Styela clava: one gene and its partner. The protein of the gene in region 2 purifies or fractionates together with the protein of the main gene of each other region. This does not show direct contact. Links are inferred from orthologs where the notes say so. Each region holds a gene or a part of one and is shown on either strand. Other genes may lie near its edges. The genes, in order: tether containing UBX domain for GLUT4-like and UBX domain-containing protein 6-like.

Evidence for each region.
Region 1: the proteins of UBX domain-containing protein 6-like (region 2) and tether containing UBX domain for GLUT4-like purify together in Homo sapiens (affinity purification with mass spectrometry; 4 studies listed by BioGRID and IntAct, counting the BioPlex papers as one, with this or other methods). This does not show direct contact. The link is inferred for Styela clava from reciprocal best matches to the Homo sapiens genes UBXN6 and ASPSCR1.

Annotation. Positions count from the first base shown.
Region 1 is NC_135260.1:3,079,255-3,086,355, forward strand, and holds tether containing UBX domain for GLUT4-like, read right to left. Parts: upstream 3,149-7,101; 5' UTR 3,110-3,148; coding exon 1,516-3,109; intron 1,099-1,515; coding exon 935-1,098; 3' UTR 353-934; downstream 1-352. UniProt on the Homo sapiens protein: Tethering protein that sequesters GLUT4-containing vesicles in the cytoplasm in the absence of insulin. Modulates the amount of GLUT4 that is available at the cell surface. Enhances VCP methylation catalyzed by VCPKMT.
Region 2 is NC_135254.1:13,395,184-13,403,393, forward strand, and holds UBX domain-containing protein 6-like, read left to right. Parts: upstream 1-5,187; 5' UTR 5,188-5,263; coding exon 5,264-6,556; 3' UTR 6,557-8,102; downstream 8,103-8,210. Other genes in the region: uncharacterized protein LOC144422678, read left to right, coding at 30-146. UniProt on the Homo sapiens protein: May negatively regulate the ATPase activity of VCP, an ATP-driven segregase that associates with different cofactors to control a wide variety of cellular processes.

The DNA of each region.
Region 1 (7,101 bases), on a different chromosome or scaffold from region 2:
GAACTACTATTCAAGCGTTCCATCGCGAAAGTGGTATAAAACAAGGAATGTGGTAATGGCCCAGAATATCTTACAAAAACTACACATAAAACCCTTCTTCGGAAATAAATTTTTGAATTATATATTTTGACAGCATTTTTATGTTTATCTCTGGAGCAAAGTCAATAATATTGTAAATCAGTTCTGGCCAAATCAGGCGAATTCTTGCACAAATTTATCACTGAAAGGTTTCTGAAGTAATTTATCACTGAAAGGTTTCTGAAGTAATACCTTACTTGACAGGCCTGTTTCTTGTAAGCCATCCCAACTCAAAGCTGCAAAAGATCATACGTAGAACAAAAAAGGAACTTAATGAACTTGCGAATAGTTATATATTAAAGAATTCTCAGAAAATAGTAGTTTGAATCAATGAATGCTCAGTGCAGAGAAATAACCCAATATTACCAGCAAATAGTATTGCACAACGGAATATGGTTTTAACTCAGGTGATGGAAAATCCCTTTAATCCAAAATTAAATTTTCAACTTAATCCTAAATAGAGCCAAATTCAAAACTTGATCGAGAAGAAGGTTAAATTTTTTTCTTATACAGGGTCCTCAGTCTCTTTACAATTTCAATTTTGTTATGAAGTCAGTTCTTATATATTCTTATTCAAGTATTTCTACCTTATTTAATATATCTGTGAAGACCAAAACGATTTATGGTATCAATGAATTCCCTTTGCAATTTTGGAAAATTCGAGACTTTATGGACACCCTATATGTTTGATTCGAGCGAGTTAGCTAGCACTTGTGAATCAACGAAATATTTACTGGAAATGAAGAAACAACTACTGACTCGCTTGCCTGCAGACTCAAGAGGCAAAGGTCAGTGAGTTTTTAGAACTATTATCGGGTCAAGATTCATGGAAACGATCATATAAAGCTAGCTCGATTTACTTTTTTCCTAATTTGAACCATTTAGGAACTTTAGGTCGAGCGCCACTAGCATTGTTCGAAGAAGTTTGACTTGAACCGGTTTGCCGACTCGTGGACGGAGTTTCGCTGTCCGGAACACTTGATGATGAATGACCACGCTGGCTTGTTGCTTTGGTAAATTCTGTAAAAAAAAGAAATTGAGTTGAATAGGAACAAATATGCATATTTAAAGAAAAAAACAATCCATCGAATAAATGTGGCGCTTCCATTATGCACATAATAGCTCTGTACGAATTTTCGAAAAGATAAAACTTAGGTTGAGTGATGGATAGTGGTATACCCAGGGAGATTGGCGAGTCAGAACCCTTAATCACCCTTCTTTTTGATATGGAAAAAGCAAAAAAATATCGAACTTTGGTCAGACAAAACATTACAAAAATACATTTGTGTTTTTAGTGTGCAGCAAAACTCTTGAATCAATTAGAATAGTGCATTCACTATGTCGGTAATCAGAGGTGCAGTGGTCTGCGAATACTTAATGCTGAGCACGATGTGCCACACTGCCAATAGCTGATTCAAAATATTCTTCTCGTCTCACCTTGCGCAGAGTTTGAAGCAGAGACTGTTGGAGACTTCAATTCAAAAACAGAGCGAAGTTTTAAATTTGCTTCAATTGCTGTTCCTCTACATTTCCCAATATCTGACGACAAAATTTTAGGTTCAAAATCGTGATTTTTCATCCCAAAATATACCTTGGAAGCCGGGACGAGATGATTATCGTACAAAATTGATTTTTTGTCTTTGAGAATGACCTTTGGTGGGGTGGTATATAAATAAAAGTCCGTTGCGGGGGATGATATAAAATTTGACACAAAATCGTAAAGAGATTGCACTGGTTCTGCGGGACGGAAGATTCCTTGTAGCACGCTTTGATCGGGGAAGACGATTCTTACAACTATCTTAGGATATTGGTTAATAGATCGGAATCTTTGTATTTCTCGAGACCGGGCTGTAAGAAGGGGCTTTTCCTCTGAATCATTTTGTAAATAACGCAACTCCGATAGCATTTTTCTCATGTCGTCAATTGTGAGTTCGAAAAATTCATCGCCTGGATCGTCCGTATTTATTTCAGCGCTTTGCAATTCTTGTTCGTTGAAGAATATAGGTTCTCGGTCACACGGTGTCATCAGAGGGCGAACGTCGATTTCATTTTCCTCATTTTCAGTAGAATACACATCCATCCCTTCACTTTCTTTTGGAAATTTAAACTCAGAAAAATCAGGTTGCGGACTTTCTGATGGTGTCTGTTTAACTTTTTTTTTCGGGGCAGTTTCATTCGAGTGAACACGTCTTGGTCTAGCACGACCATTTTTCAAACTTTCCGCAGAAGAATTGCCGACGGCGTCAAAAAATTCTGTTTTTGAAGAAGAAGTTGACAGATCAACCTCCATGGACTCTACAGAATCATTATTTCTGGCGGAATTTACTCCGAGAGATTCAGGCGTAGCGTATGTTTGTTCCAGTGCGTTCTGTAACATCTCTTCAGTTATCATCATGCCTTCATTGCTTTCCGACTTAACGGGCGGTTTGAGAACATTTCTTTCCTGTATTTTCTGGGGTTGTTGAGCTGGTATTTCAGCTTTTGGCAGAGATGCCTCTTTCTCAGAAGGTTTTTCTATAGGTTCATTTTCCGCTACCAATTTATACGACAATCGTAATATCGCGCTTCCACTCGTTAGACCCAAACTTTTTAGGGTCGTTTTTGAAAGTTTAAAATTTCCTGTTATTTCTTGCCTAACATACAAAATACTAGGTTCATGACCTTCTGGTGGGGTCAAAGTTGAAAGTTCACTTTCCCAGTGTTGCAAGATGTCAGACAATGTTACAGACGGTAAAAATGAATGCTGTACTCTGTTCCCTCCCTCAAATTGCAATGCAATTCTTACAGGAGATTCTTGCTTCACTTTTTCCTGTTTTAAAAGTTCAAGCTTTGCATTATTTGGTACATTTGCATATCTCCATGACAACGATTCATCCAATATTTTTCTTTGAAATAAAAACGAAAAAGTTTCTGCGTCCAGTTTCTCTCGTTTGCATACATCTTCCAAAGTTTGCAGTATTACTACGTTCGGTGAAACTTTTACATTTTTGCGACGGCCGTTTGGATACAAAATCGACAAATTCAAAGACATTATCTGGTATCAAAAAATATACCTAAATCTGAAAATTAATTTCTATTTGTATCAACAATTGGCGCGGCGTGGCTCATCGTGCTGTCAGGCTAAGCGTTAGGAATACGCACGTCACCGCACCTCTGATTATGCTGTGTGGGTTCTCAGGTTCAAATCCTGTCGGAGATAATTATGTGCGAGTGCATTGCTGGACTCCTCGTCACCTTAGGGTTGTAAGGTTTTTCATGTTACTGCTGGTAGATTAGGGCTTCCTCTACCATCAAGATCATGCATCTGAAACATATAACTGACTAAGTAAACCCATACAGCCATACCCGACTTGGACTGGTAACTGGACGAGAAGCTTGAGTTCGCCATATGATTAGGCTGTCAAACACCAAGATTGAAAATGCTTTTTAAAAATAAAACAATTGAATCTTTCATCAAAAATACTAACACATCAGGGGTCTCGAACCACAATAACTTCTAGGGGATTTTTGGATGATGTAGTCAGGTAGGAATAACATATGGAAAAATGGTTATGAAACTACACGGGACCTCATTCTGACGATACAGAACTAAGGATTTAAAGTTGACTGACTTGTCTTCATCAGGGATATCTGGATATATAGACAGCACAGTTCTAAATTCTAACTAAGTTTCTTGCAAATCAAATAGTGAAAATACAGTTCTGTGGAAGTGGTGACTCCTCTACGGCCCATGGGCCGGGGCTACGACCCATCGAATTAGGCCTCGGCCCATCAGGCTATGGGCCGCGGCCCATCAAGTTGTGTGAAGGGACTATTCACTTGGCTAACACAGACAGTCCCCAACTCGTAATAGAACTATAATGTGAAACATCTGAACAACATTTTGTCCTAACCCTAACCTGGTACCGGTACACATACTACAGGAGTATCCTTTTCTGTATGTCTGTATGTAGCTTGGTATTTTGCTTTATTTTTATATAAGTTAAGGCTTACTGGTATCGTAAAAAAAAATTTGGTGGCATCCCGCGATTTTTTTGGTATGAATATTGATAATTTTATAAAATTGGAAATTTTGGTAAGATAATTGATTTTTTTTCTGATGGGCCACGGCTCATGTTGCCCAATTAGATAGGCCGTAAATGAGTCACCACCCCTATAGTGAAATTGACTTGAGCTTATAGTTTTTACAGGTAGATTTTAGAACTCCTTTCTAGTCAAAAATTGTTTTCCTTGTCACGAAAAGTACGGGTACCAATAAAGATTGTCAGATCTGCAGGTACACTCTCCTACCGCCAAAGCCTTTTGTCAGGCAAAGCTGCACAAACATACAGGTACGGTCTTCAAAATCTGTGAAATGGTCTCACAGCTGCACCGAGAAATATACTGAGTCATCTGAAAACTGTCGAGTCATCTATTGAATAATACAAATATCGCGCAAGGAGGGAATGGGGTATTTTATTTTCAGCGTAACTTGGGATAAATCATACGTTTGCTCATTATTGTCGGCGCCGACGTGTACCTCTATATGTTTCAAAACGGAGGGAAATCCCTAGAAAATAACACGACTTACACTGTACCGGTACGCAATCACGGCTCACGCACCAGGGAATTCTGATCCACGCCCACGATGCTTTATATGCCATGCATTAGTTTTAAACGGAACGCCGGTAGATTAATTACGTAGTTCTCGTGTGACGTAATTTTAAATACATAAAGGAAATGCGTCCGCCCTGCATTAGTTTCGGCAGGTTCTGCATACTATTTAAATGCATTGACTTGGACCAGCGACTAATTTTGCGGTGACAAGACGGCAATTTTCTCGAAAATAATTATCTGACGTTGGATTGGTACTCCATGCAACAGGGTGATTGGCGCGACCATAAGCTTACTTTTGATTCTCGGTTCAACACGCCAAAGGAGCGGCGTGGCGTATCTTACTTGGCGTTATAAAGATGCTCGCCATCTTTTTTTTTTTTTTTTTTTTTGCCAAATTTAAATCCATTGCCAAATCGGATTTATACAAATGATAGTTTTGGTGTATCCAATTATATATTTCAATATTATTGCATGAGGTCCAAATTTTTATTTTTGTGATGTAATTTAGGTGATTTTATACAATGAATAAATATACAATGAAAAGATAAGACAAATATTGAATAATTCAGTCCAGATACATTTACCATTAAATTCCATATGTCAGTATCTCCATGAAGTATGTCCATTTGTGCATGAAGTTGCTCGCCAGCGCATCTGTGATTACACTGCTTAATTACCCTCGCCGCTGCAGGGTGGCACGAATCGGTTACGCCAGGGGTCGGCAACCTTTTGTCGCTCGCGGGTCAAATTAAGGTTGCAAGTCATTAGCGGGCCGCACATCTTTTCAGAAAGTTGAAAATCCGATCGGATGGTACTTTTTATAATAAAAATTAAGCAGTGATACATCTCTCGAATAGAATATAGATTTATTTCATCATTGCATCTCATAAAATATTTTGAAAAAAATCATTCGAATATTTTCAGCGCCATTGAACCCTTTGCACTTAGCATAAACTTTTCTGCGTTTTGTTGCCATTTGCCTAATTAAAATTAAATTATATGCTCATTAAACGAGTAATTGTGAATTATATAATTGTTAGGTAATAATATAATTTAGTCTAAAGAATATATTCGTCAAAACGGATGTTTTGTTACTGTAATTTAGTGAAGCGTCGCGGGCCGGATTATAGTGCTCCGCGGGCCGTAGGTTGCTGACCCCTGGGTTACGGCTTGCTCCACATCAAGTCCATGATTCTCGAACGAATAAATTAGGCCTATTACTTCCATATCCCACATGGACTGGCAATAGGATTTCCAACTTGATGTTAAATCTTTCCGGGACACCTTAATGTCTAGAATTCAAATTTGATGCAACAGAAGCTTGTGAAATACCAAAGACATCAAAAGCAACAGTGTGAGCTGCGCGTGAAATAGTGATGATCGTGCAGCGTTATTTTCAGAAACTACACGCCTCTAAATATTTTTTGCATAATCAAGGAAACCTATTAAATGTTAAATATTTGAGGCATAAATCACTGAAACAGGAAAAATTTGTTGTTGTCAGTAAATTCGGGACGACCGTAGCCCAGCCAGGGACGCCAGACGTCAATTCCGGGTCCGATTGGCAGCCCAAACTGGTAACCGGAGGTCTTGTGCCTCCAGCAATCTATATGTAAAACGAATTTAGCCTTATTGTCCAATAATCCCCGACCACCATACATTGCGTGCATGACAAATTAAGCGATTTCATATCAGATTGAAAGTAGCGACAGGATGTAAACCACTTAATTATGCACGTGTCATAGGGTTCGATAGATTTTTATATACCATCATGCAATTTTCACCATAGATTCAGAGATGTCGGTCAGATACGGTAAGCCAGCGTTTCCCAAACATTTTCGGCCACGCAACACTTCCACTTTTTATCTCGCCTCGCGGAACACCAAAAAAGAGTAGATAAATGCAGCGAAATCTCCATTGGACGTAACATTAGAGGCCAACACTACGTAATGGAGAGTAAACGACATAGAATGGTAAAATGAATTTATTGATTTATATACACACCATTTAAATTAGGAAACAATAAAACATTAATAATAAATGCAACATGTAAAATATTCAATCATAATAAAGTATTCTAACACAATTCTGTTAGTTTTCGCCGCGCATTTGACAACTTTTTCTTTATCAATTTTACTTAATAGAGTTTAGCGAAAATGAGTAATTTTTTCAGCATTTCAAAGTAAAACCAGGCAAAGATGGAGGAAGAAGAGTTGACCCCTTTGCCCTTTTTCTTTAGGTCTACTCGTTTGCCCATAGAAAAACCAAAACGATTGCTGTAAACTTGATAATGAACTTAACAGTCAAAAAGCTAGGCCGACAGTTATCGAAAATGCCACTATCCCTCTCCAGTTAGTACGATTTAAGCCGATGGTGACGCGATATTGAACGGTCAGCTGGGCGACAACTTCACGTTCCATGGATCAG
Region 2 (8,210 bases):
ATTCATGTTATTTTGACTTTTTTTTAAAGATTGGCTGTGATGTGTCTCCACGCTGGTTTCATGCTGGATGCTACAACGGAGATATTGGAAACTTTGGAAATGTCCAGCATACGAGGCCGGTTGGCATTAAAACGCATTTGATGTAAAAATAAGTTTCAAAGGGTTGCCACTTGACACTAACAAGTAGATCAAATGGCCATTTCCCGTTAACCTGTCCATTGAGTACAGAGCCATGAATATACAGTAGAAGCGCTACCCACGAAATTAATTCGTTCCGAAGACCCGTCGTATTACATAAGGCGTTTTACCTATGTAAATGCCCTAATCCGTTTTAAGTCCACGTAAAACTCGGACATCATTTTCGTATAAATTATATTAATGCTTAAAATCCAACAACTACATGTTAGAATTAGATTACAGCATAATAAATAAACAAAGAACATACGGAAAGAAGGAAGAACATAGTAATAACGAATAAAAACTAAGAACGGTATGCTTATGTACCTTTGTTTACCATCGTCATAATCAAATGATTGATTCCCAAATTACCGTCCGCCACTGATGGAGAATTAAGACCTGAAAACTTGTTTTATTTTTTAAGTCGGTTTTTACTTGATTTGAGTCGGCGCTAATCTTTCATGTCTGGTGTTATTATTTTAATTTTGCTTATTGATATCGCCAACTTAAAGTGAACGATATTTTCATCAACGACGTCGGGATAATGATAAAATCCGCGTTAGATATTAAATAACATTTAAAGGTCATTTTATAAACTCTTAATTGTAAGAAATGAAAAAAATTCCTGTTATGTTCGGTCACTATCGAAATTGAGGGTGAAAACAATTAATTGCGACACAATTTGCTTTCAGATTTATTGGAATAGACGATAATAATTGTGAATATTGTGTAATAATTGTAATTGCGCTTTTTGAATTTCTTTCATGCTGGCCATAATTTAGTGCCACGACGCGCACGGCTGATTTCAATTGCGATAAAAAATAGAATGGCTGCGAATATTTTTTTTTAAATCGAAAGTTTGACGGCGCTAGGAAATGTGCGTCATATTCGGTATTCTCAAAAACACCAAAAAAACGATATTCGAAGGTCGCAATATTCAAATATTAGGTTTGTATTGAACATCCCTGCATTAAATTAATCTAAAATGAACAAATATCACTATGCAAGTTTTCGGAAAAGAATTGTTGGATTTTTCGTATCTAGAGCCTTTCGTACGGAGAGTTTCTACTGTATACAAGTTTTTCGTGATATTTTTTGCTTCCATTTTTTTTGTGATTGGCGAATAAAAAACGATTGGTTGATTGATTCATGTGAAAACTTCATTTGGGAATTGAAAGTTTCTTCATACGTTTACAGTGATCGTAGCGGCTGCTATCGATCGTATCGTCGTTTCTTCCAACGTCTTAGTACGGTGTGCCATACTTCCTTTAGCTCTTTAATACAGTTTCCCAGTCTTTCAAATTCTGAGATATTTTTTAACAACAGCATTAAACGGTTCGGCGACATACATATTCGACATAACAAATGAAGCGCCATAAGTGTCAAATCGTTACTAATCTTGATGACGCCACCTCATCTGTTAAGGTTGACAATACTATTCTGATTTAGGCTGCTGATGTACTGGGTTAAGGCTGCACGTTCACCGAAGGTGACCCAAAGATACCAGCATAAGTTACTACTGAGGTTTTACGGAAGGTAGTGCTATATGGAGTGAGAGGGGGTGTTACGAGGTTGTAGTGTAAACCAATAAAATGAAATATGACAAGATTTCGCTTTAATTTATATAAATTTACGATTCCGTTGATTTTAACATAAGTTAGGGGAATTTCCCAACTTTCCGCACGGTGGAATATTTTTAAAATTTAATATTCGTTTTATATATCACCATCAAATACACTGTATTAATGAACTGGATGAGAAAATATTCTTTCTTGGATAAATTACGCTTTAACTGAGTTAAATAGACGATTTCTTAAATATTTTCATTAAATTGAGGGGAATTTCCCTACTTTCCGCACGGTGGATTTTTTTTAAAGTTTAATATGTATTTTATATTTGTCCACCAAATACACTGTATTAATGAATTGGATGAGAAAATATTCTTTCTTGCATAAATTATTTTTTAACTGAGTTGGATAGACGATTTCTTAAATATTTTCATTAAATTGAGGGGAATTTCCCTACTTTCCGCACGGTGGATTTTTTTTAAATTTTAATATGTATTTTATATTTGTCCACCAAATATACCGTATTATTGAATTGGATGAGAAAATATTCTTTCTTGGATAAATTACGCTTTAACTGAGTTAAATAGACGATTTCTCAAATATTTTCATCAAATTGGGGGGAATTTCCCTACTTTCCGCACGGTGTATTTTTTTTAAATTTTAATATGTATTTTATATTCGTCCACCAAATACACTGTATTAATGAATTGGATGAGAAAATATTCTTTCCTGCATAAATTATTTTTTAACTGAGTTGGATGGACGATTTCTCAAATATTTCCATTAAATTGGGGGGAATTTCCCTACTTTCCGCACGGTGGATTTTTTTTAAATTTTAATATGTATTTTATATCTGTCCACCAAATACATTGTATTAATGAACTTGATGAGAAAATATTTTTTCCTGCATAAATAATGCTTTAACTGAGTTGGAAAGACGATTTCTTAAATATTTCCATTAAATTGGGGGGAATTTCCCCACTTTCCGCACGGTGGATTTTTTTCAAATTTTAATATGTATTTTATATTCGTCCACCAAATACACTGTATCAATAAATTGGATGAGAAAAAATTAATTTTTGCATAAATGGGTTATTCCCTGCGCTCCCAAAAGCGTACAATCTAGATTCTAAATCTGAACCTATCCTGGTACACCTTTTATTTTCAGGTTGTGCGTCATCTTTGTGTCCATATTTCGAGAGTACCGAATTTCGCTACTTTCCGCATGGTGGATTTTTTTTTAACTTTTATTATGTATTTTATGTTTGTCCACCAAACACACTGCATTAATGGATTGGATGAGAAAAAATTCCTTCTTACCTAAATTACGCGTTAACTGAGTCAAATTGACGATTTCTTATATATTTTTTTTAATTGAGGGGGAATTCCCTACTTTCCGCACGGTGGATTTTTTTTAAATTTTAATATGTATTTTATATTTGTCCACCAAACACACTGCATTAATGAATTGGATGAGAAAAAATTCCTTCTTACCTAAATTACGCTTTAATTGAGTTAAATTGCCGATTTCTTATATTTTTTTCTTCAATTGGGGGGAATTTCCCTACTTTCCGCACGGTGGATTTTTTTTAAATTATAATATGTATTTTATATTTGTCCACCAAAAACACTGCATTAATGAATTGGATGAGAAAAAACTCCTTCTTACCTAAATTACGCTTTAACTGAGTCAAATTGACAATTTCTTATATTTTTTTCTTCAATTGAGGGGAATTTCCCTACTTTCCGCACGGTGGATTTTTTTCAAATTTTAATATGTATTTTATATTTGTCCACCAAATACACTGTATCAATGAATTGGATGAGAAAATATTTTTTCTTGCATAAATTATTTTTTAACTGAGTTGGATAGACGATTTCTTAAATATTTTCATCAAATTGAGGGGAATTTCCCTACTTTCCGCACGGTGGATTTTTTTTAAATTTTAATATGTATTTTATATTTGTCCACCAAATACACCGTATTAATGAATTGGATGAGAAAATATTCTTTCTTGAATAAATTATTTTTTAACTGAGTTGGATAGACGATTTCTTAAATTTTTTCATTAAATTGAGGGGAATTTCCCTACTTTCCGCACGGTGGATTTTTTTTAAATTTTGATATCTATTTTATATTTGTCCACCAAACACACTGCATTAATGAATTGGATGAGAAAAAATTCCTTCTTACCTAAATTACGCTTTAACTGAGTCAAATTGACGATTTCTTATATTTTTTTCTTCAATTGAGGGGAATTTCCCTACTTTCCGCACGGTGGATTTTTTTTAAATTTCAATATGTATTTTATATTTGTCCACCAAATATATTGTATAAATGAATTGGATGAGAAAATATTCTTTCTTGCATAAATTATGCTTTAACTGAGTTGGATAGACGATTTCTTAAATATTTTCATTAAATTGAGGGGAATTTCCCTACTTTCCGCACGGTGGATTTTTTTTAAATTTCGATATCTATTTTATATTTGTCCACCAAACACATTGCATCAATGAATTGGATGAGAAAAAATTCCTTCTCACCTAAATTATGCTTTAACTGAGTTAAATTAGAGATTTCCTATATTTTTTTCTTAAACTGGGGGGAATTTTTCTACTTTCCGCAAGGTGGATTTTTTTAAAATTTTAATATGTATTTTATATTTGTCCACCAAATTCACTGTATTAATGAATTGGATGAGAAAATATTATTTCCTGCATAAATGACGCTTTAACTGAGTTATATTGACAATTTCTTAAAAATTTTCCTTCAATTGGGGGGTATTTCCCAACTTTCCGCATAGTGGAATTGTTTTAAAATTTAATATATGTTTTATATATCTTCATCAAATTCACTGTATTAATGAATTGGATGAGAAAAAATTATTTCTTGCATAAATTACGCTTCAACTCAGTTGAATTTTAGATTTTGTCGATAAATGAGCTTCTGAGCAATAATTCATTTTATCGAGGAAAAAATGTGTTGTTTCAATCATTTTTGTTTTTTATTATGTTTCAGGTCTGTTGTCAGTTTCTAAAAGGGAGAATCACCTAATTTTTTTGCATCCATGTAGCCTCAATTAAGTGAATTCGCGACAACGCGAATTCGTGGAACATGGCGGGTTCAAATTTGGAAAAATTGGTAACTGTCCGCTGTAAGTGGCCGCTAGCTTTACCTAGGTAGTTGTAGGAACATGTGAAAAGATAATCCTGTAAGGATGGTAGGATGGTGTGTTTATGCATTATGCTCAGGGACTCTTCTGACCTTACATCCTTAAAGCCTTTAGACGGTAATAAGAAAAAACTTCCAGAAATAAAGAAATCTTTATTCATAATCTAAGTTAGCACTTTCTGAACACAGTAATCATATCATCTTTTCCACACAAAGTGCTAAATAAAATTGTGAAGAGGGAAAAGATATTAAATTGAATGATTTACATACATTTTGTGATGGCTTTAATGATGATGTTTAAACTTTCTCTGCTACAGTTTTCTGTTGAACTAGGCCTATAGGAACCATGAAAAAATTTTTCCAGAAAGTCAAACTGGAAACTAAATTTCGAAGTGCAGGAGAGGGTCATAAACTTACTGACGAGTCAGGCCATGGGGTGCAGGAAAGTTCGAGATCTACACAACCTGTTCCTGTACGAGCAAATCCTATGTCAGAATCTCAAGCTAATGCAGCTATTGCGGCAATTGAAAGAAATGAAAAATGTAAGCAAACGACATCTACATCATCGTCAAAAATAATAAAAAGATTGGCAAAAGAAGCTGCGAGAGCTTCTGAAGATAATAAAGTGCCCAAGTCTGAACCTCTCAATGCTGATGCAGCAGAAGATTTTGTACCTGAACAATACTCAGTTGAAGGTGTTAAATTTATTTCTGCCTTATCTGGAGAGATCATGCAAGAAAAAGAACTTAATGCACATTACAAAGAAAGTTTCTTACTGAAGCTAGGTTCAGATGAAGCCATTGATGCTTCGTGTAGTATGATACGGACATTGAATAAAGATAAATCGAAGATTGAAATTGCAGTAAAAACCATAAGCAAATATATTGACAACATCATTGCAAATCCTGATGAGGAGAAATACAGAAAAATAAGGAAAGAAAATAAAGCATTTTCAGAAAGAGTTGCTCCTTTGGATGGAACAGAAGAGTTCTTAAATGCAGTCGGCTTCAAATTGACAATGGTGTCATCAGATGAAAAAGAAGAATTATATTTTGTACTGCCCAATGATATTAACATTGAAAATCTTAAATATGCAAAAGATTGTTTATTGGCTTCACAGCCACTCATAACAAAACTCCACAGAGACATGAAAATTTTTCAACCTTCTGATCGGTCTCTCACTTTCAATCTACCTAACTCGTTTTACAATTTAACATTGGAAGAAGTTCGGAGAGAACAGGGACTAAAAACAGAAGAGATTGAACTTAGTAAACAATTACGAACAAAACAAATGCGCGAAAAATCAAGGCAGACTAGAAAATATATTTATGCTTTGATTAGAATTCGGTTTCCTGAAGGGTACATTTTACAAGGAACGTTTGCAGTGAACGAAAAATTTGCTGAGGTGAGGGCATTCATAAGTGAGAATATAAATGTTGATTGGGCACCTTATACTTTAAAAACATCAACAGGGCAAACAATTGATCAGGATCACGAAACACTGTCTGCGCTTCAGCTCATACCATCTGTTATCTTGAATTTGAGTTGGATTGCAGAAGTACAGGCTCAATTGAATGAACAAGGTGTTACACTTTCTCTAAAAGATGAGGTTTTACAAAAACAGGAAGAATTGAACTGACAATTGTCATTCGGGTGAGAAAATTTCTCGATAAAATTTATATTTCACCATGCAAGTGGAAGCCTAATTTGACATCATGTGAATGTATTATTCGAGCTCAAATTGACACCATTCAATTTTGTATTTTTGTTTGGCATGATTAGCTTATTTTTAAAAGCAAGCATTAAAAAAGCATGTAGGGTGTTTACTTTTGTTTCATATTGTCTCTGTCAGTGTATGATTCATTGTGTTCTTATTATGCGAAGGTTGTTATCACTTATCAGATTACAGAATATGACAATTGGTCAATATTGTAATCCACTTACGGTACTTTAAATATAAAGTGGTCAACTACTTGTTCAAGAGCGTCAAATTTGCTAACAATAAAACACTTGCAATTGATGTCAGTGACATGGATATCATGAGCTAGATCTTAGGACAATAAATACCTGTTGAAAATTTATATGGATATTCATATAGCTCATGGTATTCCAATTGAATTGGTAATGTAATTTTTTTTGTAGCAATAACCTGTTTCGATGTCAAAATATGAAATTAAAGCATAGCAAATCACAGTGTGCCATTTTATCTCATTTTTATTCATAAAAAGTTTGAATATTGATAGATAGATATAATATTGTTACCCTGAAATGAGGATAAGAATGCTATCATATTTCTCTGCATTGACAACGCCTATCTAATATTTAGGCAACAGGCAGTCGAATATCTATTGAGTGTGGTATTCACTGTAGTTATATGAATTCTCAGGCCCATGATTTCATCTCGTAGGTAAAATGGTTGATACATTTTCCAGTCACTTGTGTAAGTGAGGAGACCATTTTGTAATATATCAATTAGCACTTTTAATTTTGAAATATGTGTTCTCACACATTTTTAGTCAGAAGTAAAAAACACCACAACAATTGTGTTGAGTTATCCTGAATATATTTAAACTTATATAATAATTCCGATATATTTATGAATTGTTCATTTTTAAAGTATTTATTGCAGTAATGATTTATGTAATAATGCCAATAATTGCCAGTGTTAATTTGTTGTTTCTCTCTCATGTTATTGTGCTTGAAATCGCATTTAGAATTAGTTGAAAATGTCATGTGGAGAACGGAAGGCAAAGCTTACCAACATGAACCGAAGTCTGTGAGGATGAGGAAGGGAAGAACAATCTAAGCAGCTCTTATGATTTTTTATTTGCTGAATAATTACGGCTGAATAGTCGATAAATATCAAATTTATTTTTTATCTCATTATTTATCTCGTTTAAAACTTGGCCCTGATCACCACACCCGTTGAAATCAGTTTTGGAGTGCAGCAACTACGTCTAGCTATGATGCCTCACCTTTAGTCCGTTTTTTTTTTATGTGCGCAAAGCCAGCTCGCATATCGAAATGATTAAATTTGAATATAGAATACAACTTCTCTTCGCTGTAAATAAATGTAAACATCACAAAGTAAATGCGACGTGCTAAGAAAAGTTTGGGGACCTGCAATATATCTTGCTTGTATAGTTTAATATATTTCGTGTGTCGAAATAATTGAAGCAACTCTGTCATACTGACTTATTGAGAGCGATGGCCAGGTTAAGAAAGAAGGTAATTAGTTATCGTCATTTTTCAAAATTTAGCTCTAGTAGGGTCGCGAACCCAAAACTCGAACG